Linked DNA regions of Rattus norvegicus. The protein of the gene in region 1 interacts with the protein of each later gene in a biochemical or structural test. Links are inferred from orthologs where the notes say so. Each region holds a gene or a part of one and is shown on either strand. Other genes may lie near its edges.

Region 1 (5,618 bases):
TTGGAAGGGCAGAGCGTGGCCTTAGAGGTAGGGAGTAGAGGTGCTGCTGGGAGAACAGAGCTGGTTATGTAGCCCAAGCTGGGCTTGAACTTGCTGATGCTGGCTTAGGATGTGTCTCGTGGACTACACGCTTCGTGAGCACTCTGGGAGATTTGTGGGGTGGGTCTTGGGAGCGGTGGATGGATAGGAATGGAAAAGTAGGCAGGAGAGAGGGGTGCTGTAGCAGGAAAGCTTGAGGTTAAACATTAGGAAGACCTCGTTACATCATCTGCATCTCTGAAGAGGAGGGATGCTTGTCGTTCCTCCCCCTAGACCTGTCCCCGCACATTTCCTCAGAGGTTTCTGGAAATTGCGTTGAAGATGGGAGACCTCTTGCTAAAGTGTAGAAGTCATACCAGTGCTGGCTGTTCTCACTGAGCCTTTGAGTGCCCCTGTCCTCAAAGAGTTGTGAAGAATCCTCTTTACCAAGCTTAATAGTTTAAACCTATAGTCCCAGCAGTGGAAAGGTTGAATCAGGAGGCTCATTGTGAGTTCAAGGCTAGCCTTGGCTACAGAGTGGGACCCTGTCTCAAACAACAACAAAAGGGAGACCTCCTTTGACATCAGGCTAATCTAGGGTCCCAGGGGCTTTGCTTTCAATTTGTCATAGCTGCTGTCCTTCCCTGAGCAGGGCTCCCTTGTCTCTCTCCTGTGCCTGGGGCAGGTAAGAGTGTGCCAGGACAGGGCTAGCCAGCCCTTCTGGTTGTTCTCAGCGTGGGTGGGTGGAGCTCCGTCTGGGAGGGGCTGCTACCCCCGGCTTTCTGGGCTCCCTTGTGTCTGCCTCTGACTGTCCTTGGTAGAGCCTCTGGTCTTTCCTTCTCCTCTTGAGAGACCTCGTTGATCTGGATGCAGCTGGGGGAGGGGCAGTAGATAGGTGATGTTTTCCAGCACCAAGCCCCCGGATTGCACAGGTCTCCTGCCTTTCCTTCTAGAATCTGTCGTGACTCCTTGCTCTAGACTCCTCCCACTTCAGTTCCTAGTCTACCACTGGGAAACAAACCCCAAACCCCAGGGTCATCTGCATCTCACTAGGCTTGGAAAAGCTTGTTTCTACCACCACCCTGGTGTGTGTTTTCCCACCTGAGGGAGGAGGCAGAAGCTTGGAAGATGGGTTTCTGGAGTCACAGCCTCCATGTCCTTGGTTGGACTGCTTCTCCCAGGCTCCTGACAGGAGGGTGAGGTCATCCAGTCCAGAGAGAGGACAGGTGTCCCTGGCTCCGTGCCTGGAGTGGGGGGCAAGGAGGGGGCAGGAGGGGTCCAAAATAGTAACTGTGACGTCAGGAGAGGGGAGGAGGCTATAGACCCAGGAATAACCAGTCTATTAAAAGGCTCCAGTGAGGTCAGGGGGCCAAGTGGGATCTCTTTATCAGTGGGAGGCACAACTCGGGAAGAAGGGGGAGGTCAACAGTGCGTGGTGCTGGCAGTGGCATCAATTTTGATGGTTCGGTGGCCCCATGGCCCAGGAAGGTGGAGAGCTGGGGCTACTCCACCAGGCCAGGGTGCTAACAGCTTCATGACTAGCTGGAGGGCCTCCAACCCCAAGTCTTTCTACTTGGGCACTGGAGGTCCTGTCCCTGGGACAGATGTATATTCTGCCCATGAGTTATGGTGGTCAGTGCTTCAGACTTCTAGTCCCAACCAATCCCGTGAGCAGCTCTATGACAAGAGTAACTTTCGTCTTCCTGTAACTCAGCTTCCCCATCTTGGCCTCTTTCTGGTGGTCATTGTTAGCATAAAGGCAATGATGTTTGCGGTTTGTGGTGCTCTCAGCTGGGTACATTGCCAGGAAAGCGTTGATTGAGCTGAGAATGGGCTGGTGCTGACCAGTCCCCTGCCTGGGCTGGGCAAAGCCTACCCAGAAAAATCTCTCTGCTCCCTGAAAAGAGGCGGAGTGCCAGAGGTGGTACTAGAATGGGTGGGAGAGCTGCCACCCCACTGCTATTTAGGGTCTCCCTGATAGTAAGACTGTAGGGAGGCATCTCCCGGCTCTGTGGGAAGGCAGAAGTTACACAAACTCCACAGGCTGTAAGGAGGAGGTGTGAGGTTAGACCAGGTGGTTGGGTGTCTGTCACCTCTTCCTAGTCTTTCTGATTCCTTTCCTCTGCACAGAAAGGGGGAAGATAGAAGATCCAGGCTGGCTGCTTGCTGTCCAGTTCATTGTTTGCCCCCAGCAGCAGTGGCCAAAGCTGATCCCAGAAGCATGGGTCCTCTCCTGCACCTTTCTCTAGTTCAGCCACTGGCCACCCAGGTCTGTGGCCTTGGCCCTGAGTGCAGGCCTCCCTTGCCCCCCTCCCCCTTGACTGGCGCTTCCTCCTGGGGTGGAACGCGCCTCCCCCCATGGGGCCTCCGCCAGGCCTGGGCTCCTGGCAGCCAGCCGGCGGCTCCCTGAGCATGCTCCACCTATTTATAGACAGGGCCCTCCCCCAACTGCTATTTCAGTCTCCTGCCAGCTGCCGGCGGCTCATTCGGGGAGGAGGAGCAGGGAGCCAAGCCCAGAGCTGTCACCGGTGGCTCTGGGAGGGAACACTGAGAGAGTCTGCCTGCCCACTGAGCTCCCCTTCCTGTCCCTTGAGCACCCAGCCATAGCCCAACTCCTGGAACCTTTAGACGGACCTCGGTCCATGCTCCCGTAGTGGAGAACAGGCCTGCAGCCTCTTCAGCCTCCCTGCGCCTGCTGCCTCGGGAGCGCCCAGGCCGGATGAGGTGCCTCCTTGCCTTGTGGGTCCCAGCGGCAGTGGCCTGAGGGAGTCCTTGAGCAGCCGGCTGGCCCTGCTGACCACCTTTCCCTCACCGGCTTCCGCCTCGGGCGGCCCCTCCCTGGCATGCTGCTGGTGCCCAAGGCACAGGGGCTTGTGGAGATGCTGCAGACCATCTATGAGACCGAGTCCTGTTTCTCAGCAGATGGCATGTCAGGCCGGGAACCATCCTTGGAAATCTTGCCACGGACTCCTCTGCACAGCATCCCTGTGGCAGGTAAGTGGCTCTGTGTCCCCACCTGCCCTCAGCTCTTGGGCATCCTCGCACCTGGTTTGAGCACCCCACTGTGAGTGTTGCTCCCTCGGGGTTCTGCTTCAGCCTTTGAGGGTTTTGTTGAGCATCCATGGATTGGAAGAACTGAGCGGCTAGAGCAGTTTTCCTTCCCTCCTTGCCCAGGGCCATCCTCTCACGCTGCCTCCTAGCCACTGTCTCTCCAGTGCCTCTGCCTTCAGCAGGGTCAGCCTCAGCTGCTAGGGGCTAGGGCTTCCTAGAGAATTCTGGCCTAGTTGGACCATGGTCAGAGGGGAGGAAGTGGGTCAGTGACCGATCTCCAGGCTGCCTTGCTCTCCCCACCATTGAGCAGAGGAAGAAGTTGTACCTGGAGTACCTACAGGAATCAGAAGCCAAGCTTCTGTGGCTTGGTTTGACCTGGTCAGAGTGTAGTGACTTTGGCAAGTTTCTGGTCTGGAGGCTTCTTAAGAATGGACACTTAGGAAGAGGCTTGTTGGGATAGGGTTGAGCAGAGGCTAGCAGCTGGGGTGTTTGAGGGTTTTGGCTTAGTTCCTAGTCTAGTTCCCTCCTATCTCTTCCTTCCCGGGGCTGTGGCTTCTTCCCACTTTCTGAGGATAAGGAAGTGTTTCTTTGACCACAGGTGGGCTTGAGGACCTCCCTTGTAACCTAAGCATGAGGATTCCTTGCCCTGCCACCTTCTCTGGGGAAACTTTTTTGATCCTTGGTAGGGGGTGGGGTCCCCCCAAAGCTGGCCACTCCTTCGCTCACTCCCAGAAACCTGTTGCCACCAGGCGGGCAAGATGCTTCCTCCAGGGAGGGACTTGCTGGACCCATGCCTGCTTGGCCCCTCCTGGCAGTGGCTGGCTTGGTGAGAGAGAGAGAGAGAGAGAGAGAGAGAGAGAGAGAGAGAGAGAGAGAGAATGAGAATGAATATATATGTGTATGTGTGGATCTGAAGGTTTCAATTAGAAGGTGGGAGCTCTGTTTCTCTCTGGTGGGTACCTGTGATTTGGCTCTCAGCTGTCCAGGGATAAGACTTCAGTAGACTGGGCTGTGTCGGAAGGATGTTTTGGGAAGGTTTGGAAAATCCTTGGAATGTGATTTGCTGTCAGCTTGGACATAGATAGGGATGCCCGTCCATTCAGTGTCCTAGTATAGGGCATAGTCATGGAGACCAGCTCTGCAGTGTGCCTACCAAGTCCCCGGGATGGAGCCCAAGAGGCTGGTGCTTGTTCAGGACTAATGGAACTACAGCTCTGTCCTCAACCCCCAAACCTGGGCCTCTGCATGTTCATGGGAACTCCTGGGAGGTTAAGGGATGTAGAGCATCACCTAGGGTGGCTTCTAGCTGGTCACCCATTCTGCAGTGAGCTACCAGTTGGCCCCAAGTTCCTGCTGATTTCGTCTTCTTTGCTTTGGACACCAGAATCCCTGAAAGTTTGGGACCACATTCTTCTATCCCTGGATATATATACCCCAGCCAATCCCTCTCTCTAGATCTCCACCCCCCAGCCCCCCCTCCAACCTGGCCTTCAGAGTGTGGTGCAGTCCCTGCTGGCAGGAGGGAGGTGTGAGTCACCCCAGCAGCTCGGGGAGAGGGCTAAGAATGTTCCCCTGAGCAGTTCTGATGCTGTGTCTGTGACGCGGCTGGGGACAGATATAGGCCTGGAGCTTGGCTGCTTTTTTTTTTTTTTTTTTTTTTGGACTCTGGAATGTAAATAGTCGTTTCAAATAGAAACACTTTAACCTTTGGGTTAAAAAAAAAATCCTCCCTAGATAAACATGGCCGTGAGGGCCCAGAAGCCTGGTGTTTCCCTTCAGTCCCTTTTCCCCTCATGCACCCTCTCCTTCCAATTTCTTGAGCAGTCTCGGGACAAGGCACAGAAGCCTACAGCCAAAAAAGCCCGTTTCCAGGGGTGTGTTCTCGGATGACGTTGCTGGTGTCCCCCACCCAAGGGATTGGAGAAGGGGCCTTCTGAGATGCTAGCTCTCTGTCCCTTAAAGCAGCAAGTGCTGGGAACTCTTATTTGGGGGCAGCTTTTGTTTCCTCTGCTGTGTTGTTGGGTGCTCATTACCCCCCCCCATACACACACACCTAGCGCAGTGGGTGGTACTTAGATGAATGAGTGTTGGATGAGGGGGTGGAGGCCCAGCCCTCTGGCAGGATGCCTGGGTGCTATTTTGGGGCTTGACCTGGTGGCTGGATAGAGACAGCTACAGTGGGCACCTAAGGGTAAGAGAGCTCAAGAGGGGCAGAAACACTCACTTAGCTCTTCTTGATTAAGGAAGGGGAAAGGGACCAATTTTCCTCCCATTGCGTGTGACTGGCTGTGTCTCTGTCTGGCTACCCCGTCACTGCCCAGTGTGCAGTGAGCACCTTCGTATACTAGGCTCGGTCCTAGCTTAAGGCTCCTGGGACCTTTGATTCCACTGTGAGATTCCCGATGACCCTGAGCGGGGCTCCGACTTCCCCTTGTCCATTTCTGCTTGAGCTGAGCCCTTGGATACTGTGAACTGTGAAAAGGAATGGCAGAAGAGGCTTCCCTACCAGCTGAGGGAGGTACGGATCTGGTTTGTGCCAGGAAGGAATG
Region 2 (4,965 bases), on another chromosome or scaffold:
ACCTATTGATAAAAGATCCCACATTAGTCAGGCAGGAAGGACTACTTTACCATACTATAGAGCTGCACAAATTAAAATTATAAGCGAAAGAGTAAGTTGTGAAGAGTTGAGAAGTCAGAACCATTTACAGGCTTCAGTATATACTCATGCCATTCTTTTGGTAGATATTAGAATCTTGTTCTAAGTGTGAGTCCATGGTCCAGAAGTAGCAGCTGCTAGTCCCTGCTAGAAATGCAGAGTTTCAGGCCTGACTGAAGTACTACTGAATTAGAACTGACATTTTAACAAAAGTGATTCGTGTGCACATCAAGTGTAAGGAGGGGAATAAGAACTTCTGCAGATTTTCCCACTGCCTCGTCACTTCAGTCTGCGTGCTGTGTTATCCAGGCTGTAGTCGAGCTGAGCCAGTACAACCTGATATCCATGTTCTTCTCTACTGTTCTCTATCTAATAGTTACAAGTTACTGTAATCTTATTTATTTTTTAATGATTTATATATTTTTATTTTATGTGGATTGCTGATTGCCTTGCATGTATGTTTGTGTGAGGGGTCCTTTGGAACTGGAGTTGCAGACAGTTGTGAACTGCCAAGTGGTTGCTGGGAATTGAACCTGGGTTCTGTGGAAGGGCAGCCAATGCTCTTAACCACTGAGCCATCTCTCCAGCTTCCTGAAATTATAAAGCTGTTTATTCATAAATCTACTGTTTTCATTTAAATTAGCTTCTCTAGGTTCAAAAAGAAAGTATATCATTGTTAGCAATTTGAATTTTAGAACTATAGGAATAGACACCTAACTTAGATTCAAGATAAGCAATGTTTAGTAACCGTTGTAAGTGGCACAACATACACATTCTTACACACTTTGGAGGTTTATCATAAGTTGATGGTTTCCAAGTTTTTAAGTTGAAATTGTCAAACAATAGCATTGTTTATAATTATATACATGTACATGTGTATATAAGTATATGTACATGTGTATGTATACATAGAGAAAGAGGGAGAAGAAGAGACAGAGAACAAACTATGTATGTGTGCCCTGTATAAAATGCACTCGAGGACATAATAAACAAAACTAAGTTTTAAAACCTTTTCTTACAATCCCAATACGTTTGGGTAGCCCACCTGAGTGCAGTGGTGTGACAGCCAAAACTGGCCTTCTGAGCAGGGATCTGAGCTTTGATGCCATTCCTACGACATTATACACTCGCTGAGACTGCGTTCCTAATGTGATGTCCATCAGCTCACAGAGCTTCTGAAAACAGACTGAGTACAGCATACATGGCTGCACCTATCACAGGGCGTCAAAGCCACAGGTCCGGCTACCAGGACCTTCCAGTTTAAAAAGTCATTTTCGATCGAAATATATGGTACATTAATCAACAGAAACTTTTAAAGATAGTTTGTTGATTATTAAATATGAAATACTACTTTAAAAATCTGAGAAAACATTCCTTTTAAAACATATAGCTTAAACTCAGACACAGTTTACAAAATTTCTTAATAAAACTGATTTTTAAAAAAAATTTACTTTTATGACTCATCAAAACAATAAGAAAAGTTATGACTCTAGGTATTACAAAGTTTGCCTCTATGTAATATACTATTTTAGCCTTTTTATTTCATAAAACATAAACATAATCTTTTCAAATAAACCATGTGTACGACATCCTTATTTATGATGCAACTACCTTTGCAAACCAGGCAAGTTTAGGTATAACTGCCAAATTTTAAAATAGCTAGCTCATAGTCTAAAAGACAACTTTTATATTATTAGTTATATTACCAAGTAGTGTCCTAGTTCCATTTTTACAAATTTAAATATATAGAAAGGGATAGACTTAGCATCAGAAACCTTTTTAAAGTACACTAGGAAACCTAGCACACAAGTAAAATCACAAGACCAGGCATTTGGATGTGGAAAGCATAAGGAGAGACAGGGGTAAGCCGTACCTGATACAGTTTAATTATGTGAGGATGGTCGAGCATTTTCATTATTTGTACTTCTCGGTAGATTTTCTCAAGGTTTACTGCATCCAGTTGAGATTTGTCTATTATTTTTATAGCCACCTGCAGTCCAGAAGACACATAAATACAATTAATATATAACACTCAATAGTCTCCAGGTAAGATCATCAAGGAATCTCTGCCGAGCCTGATGGACTATCTGCCAAGAATGTCTCAGAAGTGCAGTAATAAGGACAGTAACTTTGCCAACTGCATAACACTTCCTAACTTTACAAGATACTTAAATGCATTTTATCTCATGTATCATTCAATTTTGTCAAATAACTGGAAGAAGCAGTTCTAGGAGCTGATAAAACAGAGATCGAAAAGGTATTACATATTAGCGCATATTAGCCTGCATGAGGCCCTCTGTCCAAATCACCAAGCCCTTCTTAGCTCCAGCCCCCAAAAGAAAGACTAATCAGCAGGCTCTAAAGCTCCAGCAAATTAAGGTGGCTGAGGGGACAGATGGACAAATACGACCTCAATTCTTCCGTTCTAAAATCAACTTCCTTTAAATGTTTAAAGTTCACTCACCATACATGTACTGTATGCCAAATACTATAACTAGGATACAGAAACAAATCAAATGGGATTCCTCTTTTTAGAGAACTTACCATGTTTGTAAGGGTGAGATGATTAAAACTGGTTTTAAGAAAGTGTTGGAATTTCTCAAAAGCATACTGAAAGTCCCCAAATTACAAAATGCTGTTTGAGTTAAAGGTAGGTATAAATTTAGTTTTTCTGCATAACTTTTACTTGTTAATAGTTCTAAACCTAGAACAAAAATCTGCATGATCAAGAGGCCAAGAAGGCCAAAACTGATTCTGTTAATCGAAGGACCTCTTTTATGTTAACTGAATCATTCAACTGTCTAACTCTTGATTATACACATGCTCTCTTAAAAATAATACTCCTTCCACTAAGGAGGAAAAGCAAAACTTCCTCTCTAATGTAGGAGAGGAACATACCAGATAAATCAGAAAGACTGCTATCACTCAAAACCCTATATAAAGGAGCTAACCCCTCAACCACACATTCAAACAATGTGAATTTAAAACGAACAAAAACATGTCATTTTCACTTTTATATTAGCAAAGATTGAAAAGTAGATACCCACATGAACCTTCTTGGCCTCTTGATCATGCAGACAATATTTCGTAGAAATTCTATATGAATATAAATAAGGCATAATTTTTCTAGAAAGCAATTTAACAGCTTTTATAAAGGACCTTAAAAAAATCACATATTCCATTAAATTTGAAGACTCTGATGCTGAAAAAGAACCTGACAGGAACAGTCTGAATTAGTGACAAGGATTTCTATATAAATAAATTAAATGTATCACTTAAAAATGAAAATATAAGCAGTTGAGAATAATTTCATGACCATTAGAGAAGTAGTGCAAAGTAACTCCTCACTTTAAAACATTTGAACAGCAAAAAACAAGGCAATTAAAAGAGAAGCAAAGTCACAAAAAGCAATTTACAAGAAAAATGCAAGTAGCTATCATGTAATACTACAGTCACGAAGACATACAAATGAAGAAATGTTGTCCATTGAGGAGGGAGAACCCTATAGAGTAGTACTCCTCAAAGTGTTTCTCCTAACAGGAGTTATGGGTACTGTTTTTGCAGAGGAGACTGTGTCCTTGAGAGAGGTAATGGATGGACTCTTCACCTAAGAATTCCACCACATTGAAACTGCTCTGAGGAAACAATCGGGTATGCAAATGTACGCAAAAGAATATCCTCTGGAACACTCAGAGTACTGCAAGAGAGAAAGCTGAACTTTACGCTTAGAAAAGCAAATGAGTTAAATACAATGTGGTAGTGACATGCAAGATGTCTCCAAATGATGTTCTGAACCTGTGGGTTGTGACCTCTTGGAGACTGAATGATCCTTTCTCAGGGTCACCTATCAGATGCCCTGCATATCACATTTACATTACAATGCAATATAGCAAAATTACAATTGTGAAGTAGAAACAAAAACAATTTTATGTTGGGGGTATCCACTGTATTAAAAGACTGCAGCATTATGAAAGTTGAAAACCACTGCCTTACACACAGTGCGCTTGCGCTCTCTCGCGCACTTACTCTCTCTCTCTCTCTCTCTCTCTCTGCATTTGTTTCAAGTTTTGCTTTATACTGAATAAAGCTGCTATATACAAATGACACATTCCATTTATGGACATATGCATTAATTTCTTTAGGGTAAATGCAGATGATTAAAGGCTGACTCTTGTTGTATGTGATACGATTTAAAGCTTAAAAAAAAATCTCCCAAACTATTTCCAAAAGTTTCCCTTATTTTCTATTTGTTAGCAATTGCTAAAGAAGCGTTTTGTTTTCCTACACCTCATCAATCTTGGTTTGGACCATCTTTACCATTACAGTGGATGTTTTTAGACAGTGTTTTTTTTTAAGACTTGGAACTGTTTGTTACTAACAAGTGAAATACAAGAACATAGGTTATATGTACAGTGATATCAATTTTATTTCAAACATACCAAATACAAGTGAATTAGGAGGCTCTGCACCACCATCTCCTAAGTTTTGAGAGTAGAGGTATGAATGCCTAGTTTCTTCTCCAAGCTTTTTCCCAATGGCTATAATGAGTAGGCCTGAGTCCTGTAACTGGGTGAAACTGGATATTCTGAACTTTCAAGAACTGAAAACATAAAAGGATTGTCACCAATTTAATTTACCTAAGATGCATCTCTCAATCTGTCTAAAGAACTTTACACATTTTTAAACAAACAGTTTTCAATGAAATGCCCCTTTGCCTTCCAATATTTTAACTATTATAACTGATATAATAACTGAATATTTTATGTGAATATTTAAGAAACATACAGAAATCATTTACTTAAAAAATATAGATGTAGGAAGACAGGTAAAGGTCTATTAAAAAGGAAAGGGAGCTATCATAAGAAATTCTATAATCCATTTGATGCA
Region 3 (4,965 bases), on another chromosome or scaffold:
GAGAGAGAGAGAGAGAGAGAGAGAGAGAGAGAGAGAGAGAGAGAGAGAGAGAAACAGACAAGACAGATATGCAATTCAGGAATTGGCATTCTTTCACTCAGGGACAGTAAGACATGATCTCATTTTGTTTTAGAGCAAAGAAAGGAGTTAAATCATTTATTCCTCAGATAGGAAAAGACCAACAGCTCCTTCAAGGCCCTCTGAACTGGGTATCCTATCTCCTAAAGCAAGAGGGTGGTGGCAAGGATAGGCCAGGACTGGGCAACTAAGCCCGCCTACGTGACTCACATATACTCTGTCTTTCACTCCATCGTGTGAACTGGCTGGGCAGGGCTATCTCATGCTCAAATACTCATTGTCTTCCCTAGAGAACATTACGGTCACAGTGAGACCTCCTGTGTCTGCTATGGAGGTGGGATGTGTTCCTCACTGTATCCTCTGGAGCCTTGAGCTGACCCTCACTGCTGTTCTAGGATGGATTGGGGGAAATCGTGGGATTGTAATAGTTAGGCCAGTTTTTCTCAAAATGCAATTTGCAACTCCCCACCTCCACTATCAGAATCCCCTGGGAATACTCACTAGTGGTGTTGAGAGCTAGAGCCCACCCCGAACCACAGAACCAAAGATTCCGAGGGTAAACCTCAAGAGTACGCTTTTCTTTTAATGAATATTTTCTGTGCTGTGTGTGGAAAGATTGGGAACAGATGTCTACAGGTGGAGGGGTGGGTGGTAGATTGGGAAAACTGACAACATTTAAATGTTCTATGGGAGCCCTTCTGTGTCTAACTTCAAGCAGAGAATGGCTGAGAATGCTTCAACCTGAAACATCCTCCCCCCTGCACACAAACACCATGTATTTTTGGAGGTGAAGCCCAGATATAAGGTCCAGAGATGCTCCCACCCATCCCCTGGACCAGCCTACCTGTATGTGAGCGAAGGTGGCGCTTGAGAGCCGTGTGGCTGGGGAAGGTGCGGTTGCACTCGCTGCAGATATAGCTGCGCACGCCTGCGTGGACCTCCATGTGTTGCTGGAGTGCACTCTGTGCCTGAAAGCGCTTCCCACACAGCAGACAGAAGACAGCCATGTCCGTGCCTGGAGGAGACAGCAATGGGAGAGCTTCAGCAACTTAGAGACCCAAGGCCAGATCTTCATCCCTGAAGGCTGGGGCAAGACCCAGAGCCGCCCCTAGAAACCCTAAACCCCACACTCTAAGTCAAACTGCCTTGGGCAACCCAGGCCACGTGACGTTGACGGAGCACCCTGAACGTAGCTTAGAGGAAAGGTGCCAATGGTGCCCTGCCTCCATGAGACCTAAAGGCTTGGAGAGAAGCATAGAAAACCACGTGGATGGTAACACAGATGTGTCTCTGCAAGGGTCTGAGTGCAATGCAGGAGAAGCTGGCGGACTAAAGGTGTGACCACGGGGACTTACAGAGTCTGAGGCAGCAGTGGAAAGACAGGTTAGACTCTAGGTGAACCAACAATAACCTGGATCAGATGGGTTGGCCATTGTTATGACATAACTCACCTAAAACCACAAACCTCATATAAGGAGAGAGAAGCACAGGGAGATTAACCCACACCAATTTCCATAGGGTTCCCAGTTGGGAGCAGCAAAGGGATCTATTCACTTATTCCCTAGGGTTACCTGTAGACCACTGTCCTCCCCTCCCCTCTCCCTACCCCTGAGACAGAATTTCTTTGTGTAGTCCTGGCTGTCCTGCAACTCTATCTGTAGACCAGGGCTGGCCTTTTACTCAAAGATCTGCCTGCTTCTGCATCCTGAGCGCTGCAGTTCAAGTACGGCGTGCTGCCACTGCCGTCTCCCCCACCAACCCCACCGCCCACCACCGCTGCCACCAGTGACCACGTTCTTACAACCACTTTCCCATTTAGGAAATCAGGCATCTTGAGAGCCACTTCATAAATAGTACTGTTGATACTTCCTACAAGGAAGACTCTCTGGGGTTCTGGAGATGAAACAATGGAAGAGTGTACTAGTCCCTGCTCTGATCTCAACACCACCCAGCACACAGTGCACCAAGTCTTTGAACACTCAGGGAGAGCCACACCAGGTTGAGTACGATGTCCAGTCCTAACTTTAGAAGCAGGGAGGATGTGAAAGGAAGAGCTGGGAGCCAGATCATGTGGGTCCTGCCCAGCCATACTGCAAGCCCTGGGGTTCATCCTAAGACCAATGGGAAGCTGTTGAAGGATTTCAAACTAGTGAGTCATATGAAATATTCATTCAGTTCTACCTAGTCACATGCTTGGCTGGCCCAGTAGCCTAGGTGCCCTACTGAAGCCCACGAAGGCAGGCTGCTATTTTCCACTCCTCAAAACCTTCCTGACACAGTCTTCCAGCTGAGTCTCAGTTCATAGCTCCTTGCCTGCCATTTTGGAGTCCATGTCTCTAAGAACATTAGCTCCCAACACAAGCCCATCTGCTTTTCTCTCTGCCCATATTTGGATGGCATGGTCTGTGCTCAGTCCCACAGTGCTGTCTCCTAGGTGAGGGACACTAACAAAAAAGGTAGTCAGGTCAGATCTGCCAGTCTAGTCCAAAGAGGAAAGGGCACGAGAGCATTTGGGCTGCTGAAAGTCTTGGGCTGCTCAGGGTGGCATGAGAAGCTCCCGGGGACAGGTAAGGGAGGAAGGAAAGGGACAGGAAGAGCTTTGCTGCCTCCCTGACTAGCAATGGCAACAGCAAGTGGGAGGGCTGGGTCTTGCTTCCTCAGGACCACACACGGCTCAGTCTAGACCAACACCATCCTCTCTCTTCTCTCTTCTCACATTTAACCACTGGCTCCTGTCTTTGCAGACACCGAAACTACCTGCAGCCATGCTTGTCTACCAACAGCCAGGAGGGCTGCATGGCAGAAGAACCGTCCACCTCCTCAAAGGTGTGTGTGTGTGGGCAGGGGGACAGGGACTAAAGACCACCATTTCAGCTAGGTCTTTATCTGTGCTGTCACCACATTTAAAACATGCATCCCTACCAGACAGGCATCCTTCCCACCTTCTTCCAAAGAGGAAAATAGAGATTAAATAACTTGCCTAAGGTCACACAGTGAGAAAGAGGCAGAGCAGGGAATCTAGAAAATGCCTTGGTCCGTTTGATTCTAGAAAACACCAATTGAATCCCATTTATCTATTTATCTTTAGGTTTTAGTCTGTGTAGCCGTGTACCTTTGTATGGTATACGGGTGTGACGGGGTGTTTGGAGGCCAGAGGTTAACATCAGGATGGCTCTCCATCTATTTTTTTTATCTGTATATATATATTTATATTTATATAAAAAGACCAATAATAGCAGTGTGTTATGCATCAACAGCAGCAACAGCTTTTCCAGGTTCTGCAGTCATCTGAACAAAACTGTAGAGACATCCAGCACACTCCATTAAAAAAAAAAAAAGTAAAAAAACAAAACCCGAGAAAACAGCACAGTTCTGTTACTCTTGTGGTACCTGGCACCATTTTTTTTTAAATTAGCTTCTCAATCATCATCTGGAAAGAAAACTTTCTGAGCAACATCATTAAAAACAGCTCTGATAAAGCACGGTCACTACTACGTATCATAAAGCAGGTACGAGCTATTTTACATCCACAGAGGTATGATACAGTACTGTCCTACATCTATAATACTAGAGGATACAATTTAAAAGGCATTATTTGAGACTTGATTCTACTTCTCCAGCAGAGGGCCCAAAGGATGGTGTGACACAGCTTTGTAAAGAAACATACTCTAGACAGGATTTCCTTTCACTAGTGGCACACTTCTAAGGATTCATTCTCTCCATGAATGTCAGCTAAAACCGTTATTAAAAAATGAAATATCCCTAGAACAAAACTGTATAACCACCGGATTCCCATGAAGATGACCTAGTGGAGACAAGCTGGACCTCACCTTACCAACAAGCTATCAAATCTGTTATGTTTAAACAGTGAGACCTCCAAGGAAGGAGATGCCAAGTAGTGCTTCAAAGCTTCGGACCACAATCAAACACAGCATCCTTTTCAACAGAAGCAGAAGCTCATCTGAATATGCTCATGGATGCTGACATCAACATTTAATCATCTCCTCACTCATCCAGGAAGAGGGGGAGATCAGTTACTACTGTACTTTATTGTGTTCAACCAAATTACCATGTTACAAAAATAGCAAGCTGCCATAATAAAAAATAAGGCTCCTCTATCCAGCACCAAATAGCATCATTTTACTTTCAAGCCTAGAAATTGCACACTTGTATATAAACCAATCGAAGATGAGGATTGAGAGTTCATCTTGGTGGATTTTTCCTTTGATGAATATGAAGTGTCCTTCCTTATCTTTTTTGATGACTTTTAATTGAAAATTGATTTTATTTGATATTAGAATGGCTACTCCAGCTTGCTTCTTCTGACCATTTGCTTGGAAAGTTGTTTTCCAGCCTTTCACTCTGAGGTAGTGTCTGTCTTTGTCTCTGAGGTGTGTTTCCTGTAGGCAGCAGAATGCAGGGTCCTCATTGCGTATCCAGTTTGTTAATCTATGTCTTTTTATTGGGGAGTTGAGGCCATTGATGTTGAGAGATATTAAGGAATAGTGATTATTGCTTCCTGTTATATTCATATTTGGATGTGAGGTTATGTTTGTGTGCTTTCATTCTCTTTGTTTTGTTGCCAAGACGATTAGTTTCTTGCTTCTTCTAGGGTATAGCTTGCCTCCTTATGTTGGGCTTTACCCTTTATTATCCTTTGTAGTGCTGGATTTGTAGAAAGATATTGTGTAAATTTGGTTTTGTCATGGAATATCTTGGTTTCTCCATCTATGTTAATTGAGAGTTTTGCAGGATACAGTAACCTGGGCTGGCATTTGTGTTCTCTTAGGGTCTGTATGACATCTGTCCAGGATCTTCTGGCCTTCATAGTTTCTGGCGAAAAGTCTGGTGTGATTCTGATAGGTCTGCCTTTATATGTTACTTGAC

What was found.
Region 2: of the proteins of Hdac5 (region 1) and Sik2, one has a biochemical effect on the other in vitro, tested with the Homo sapiens proteins (2 studies listed by BioGRID). The link is inferred for Rattus norvegicus from reciprocal best matches to the Homo sapiens genes HDAC5 and SIK2.
Region 3: the proteins of Hdac5 (region 1) and Zbtb16 form a complex in vitro, tested with the Homo sapiens proteins (2 studies listed by BioGRID). The link is inferred for Rattus norvegicus from reciprocal best matches to the Homo sapiens genes HDAC5 and ZBTB16.

What each region holds. Positions count from the first base shown.
Region 1 is NC_086028.1:87,673,276-87,678,893, reverse strand, and holds the start of Hdac5 (histone deacetylase 5), read left to right. Parts: upstream 1-2,324; 5' UTR 2,325-2,861; coding exon 2,862-3,012; intron 3,013-5,618. UniProt on the Homo sapiens protein: Responsible for the deacetylation of lysine residues on the N-terminal part of the core histones (H2A, H2B, H3 and H4).
Region 2 is NC_086026.1:60,211,131-60,216,095, forward strand, and holds part of Sik2 (salt-inducible kinase 2), read right to left. Parts: intron 4,679-4,965; exon of another isoform or gene 4,554-4,678; coding exon of another isoform or gene 4,518-4,553; intron 2,069-4,517; coding exon 1,952-2,068; intron 3-1,951; coding exon 1-2. UniProt on the Homo sapiens protein: Serine/threonine-protein kinase that plays a role in many biological processes such as fatty acid oxidation, autophagy, immune response or glucose metabolism.
Region 3 is NC_086026.1:57,898,488-57,903,452, forward strand, and holds part of Zbtb16 (zinc finger and BTB domain-containing protein 16), read right to left. Parts: intron 1,094-4,965; coding exon 923-1,093; intron 1-922. UniProt on the Homo sapiens protein: Acts as a transcriptional repressor. Transcriptional repression may be mediated through recruitment of histone deacetylases to target promoters. May play a role in myeloid maturation and in the development and/or maintenance of other differentiated tissues.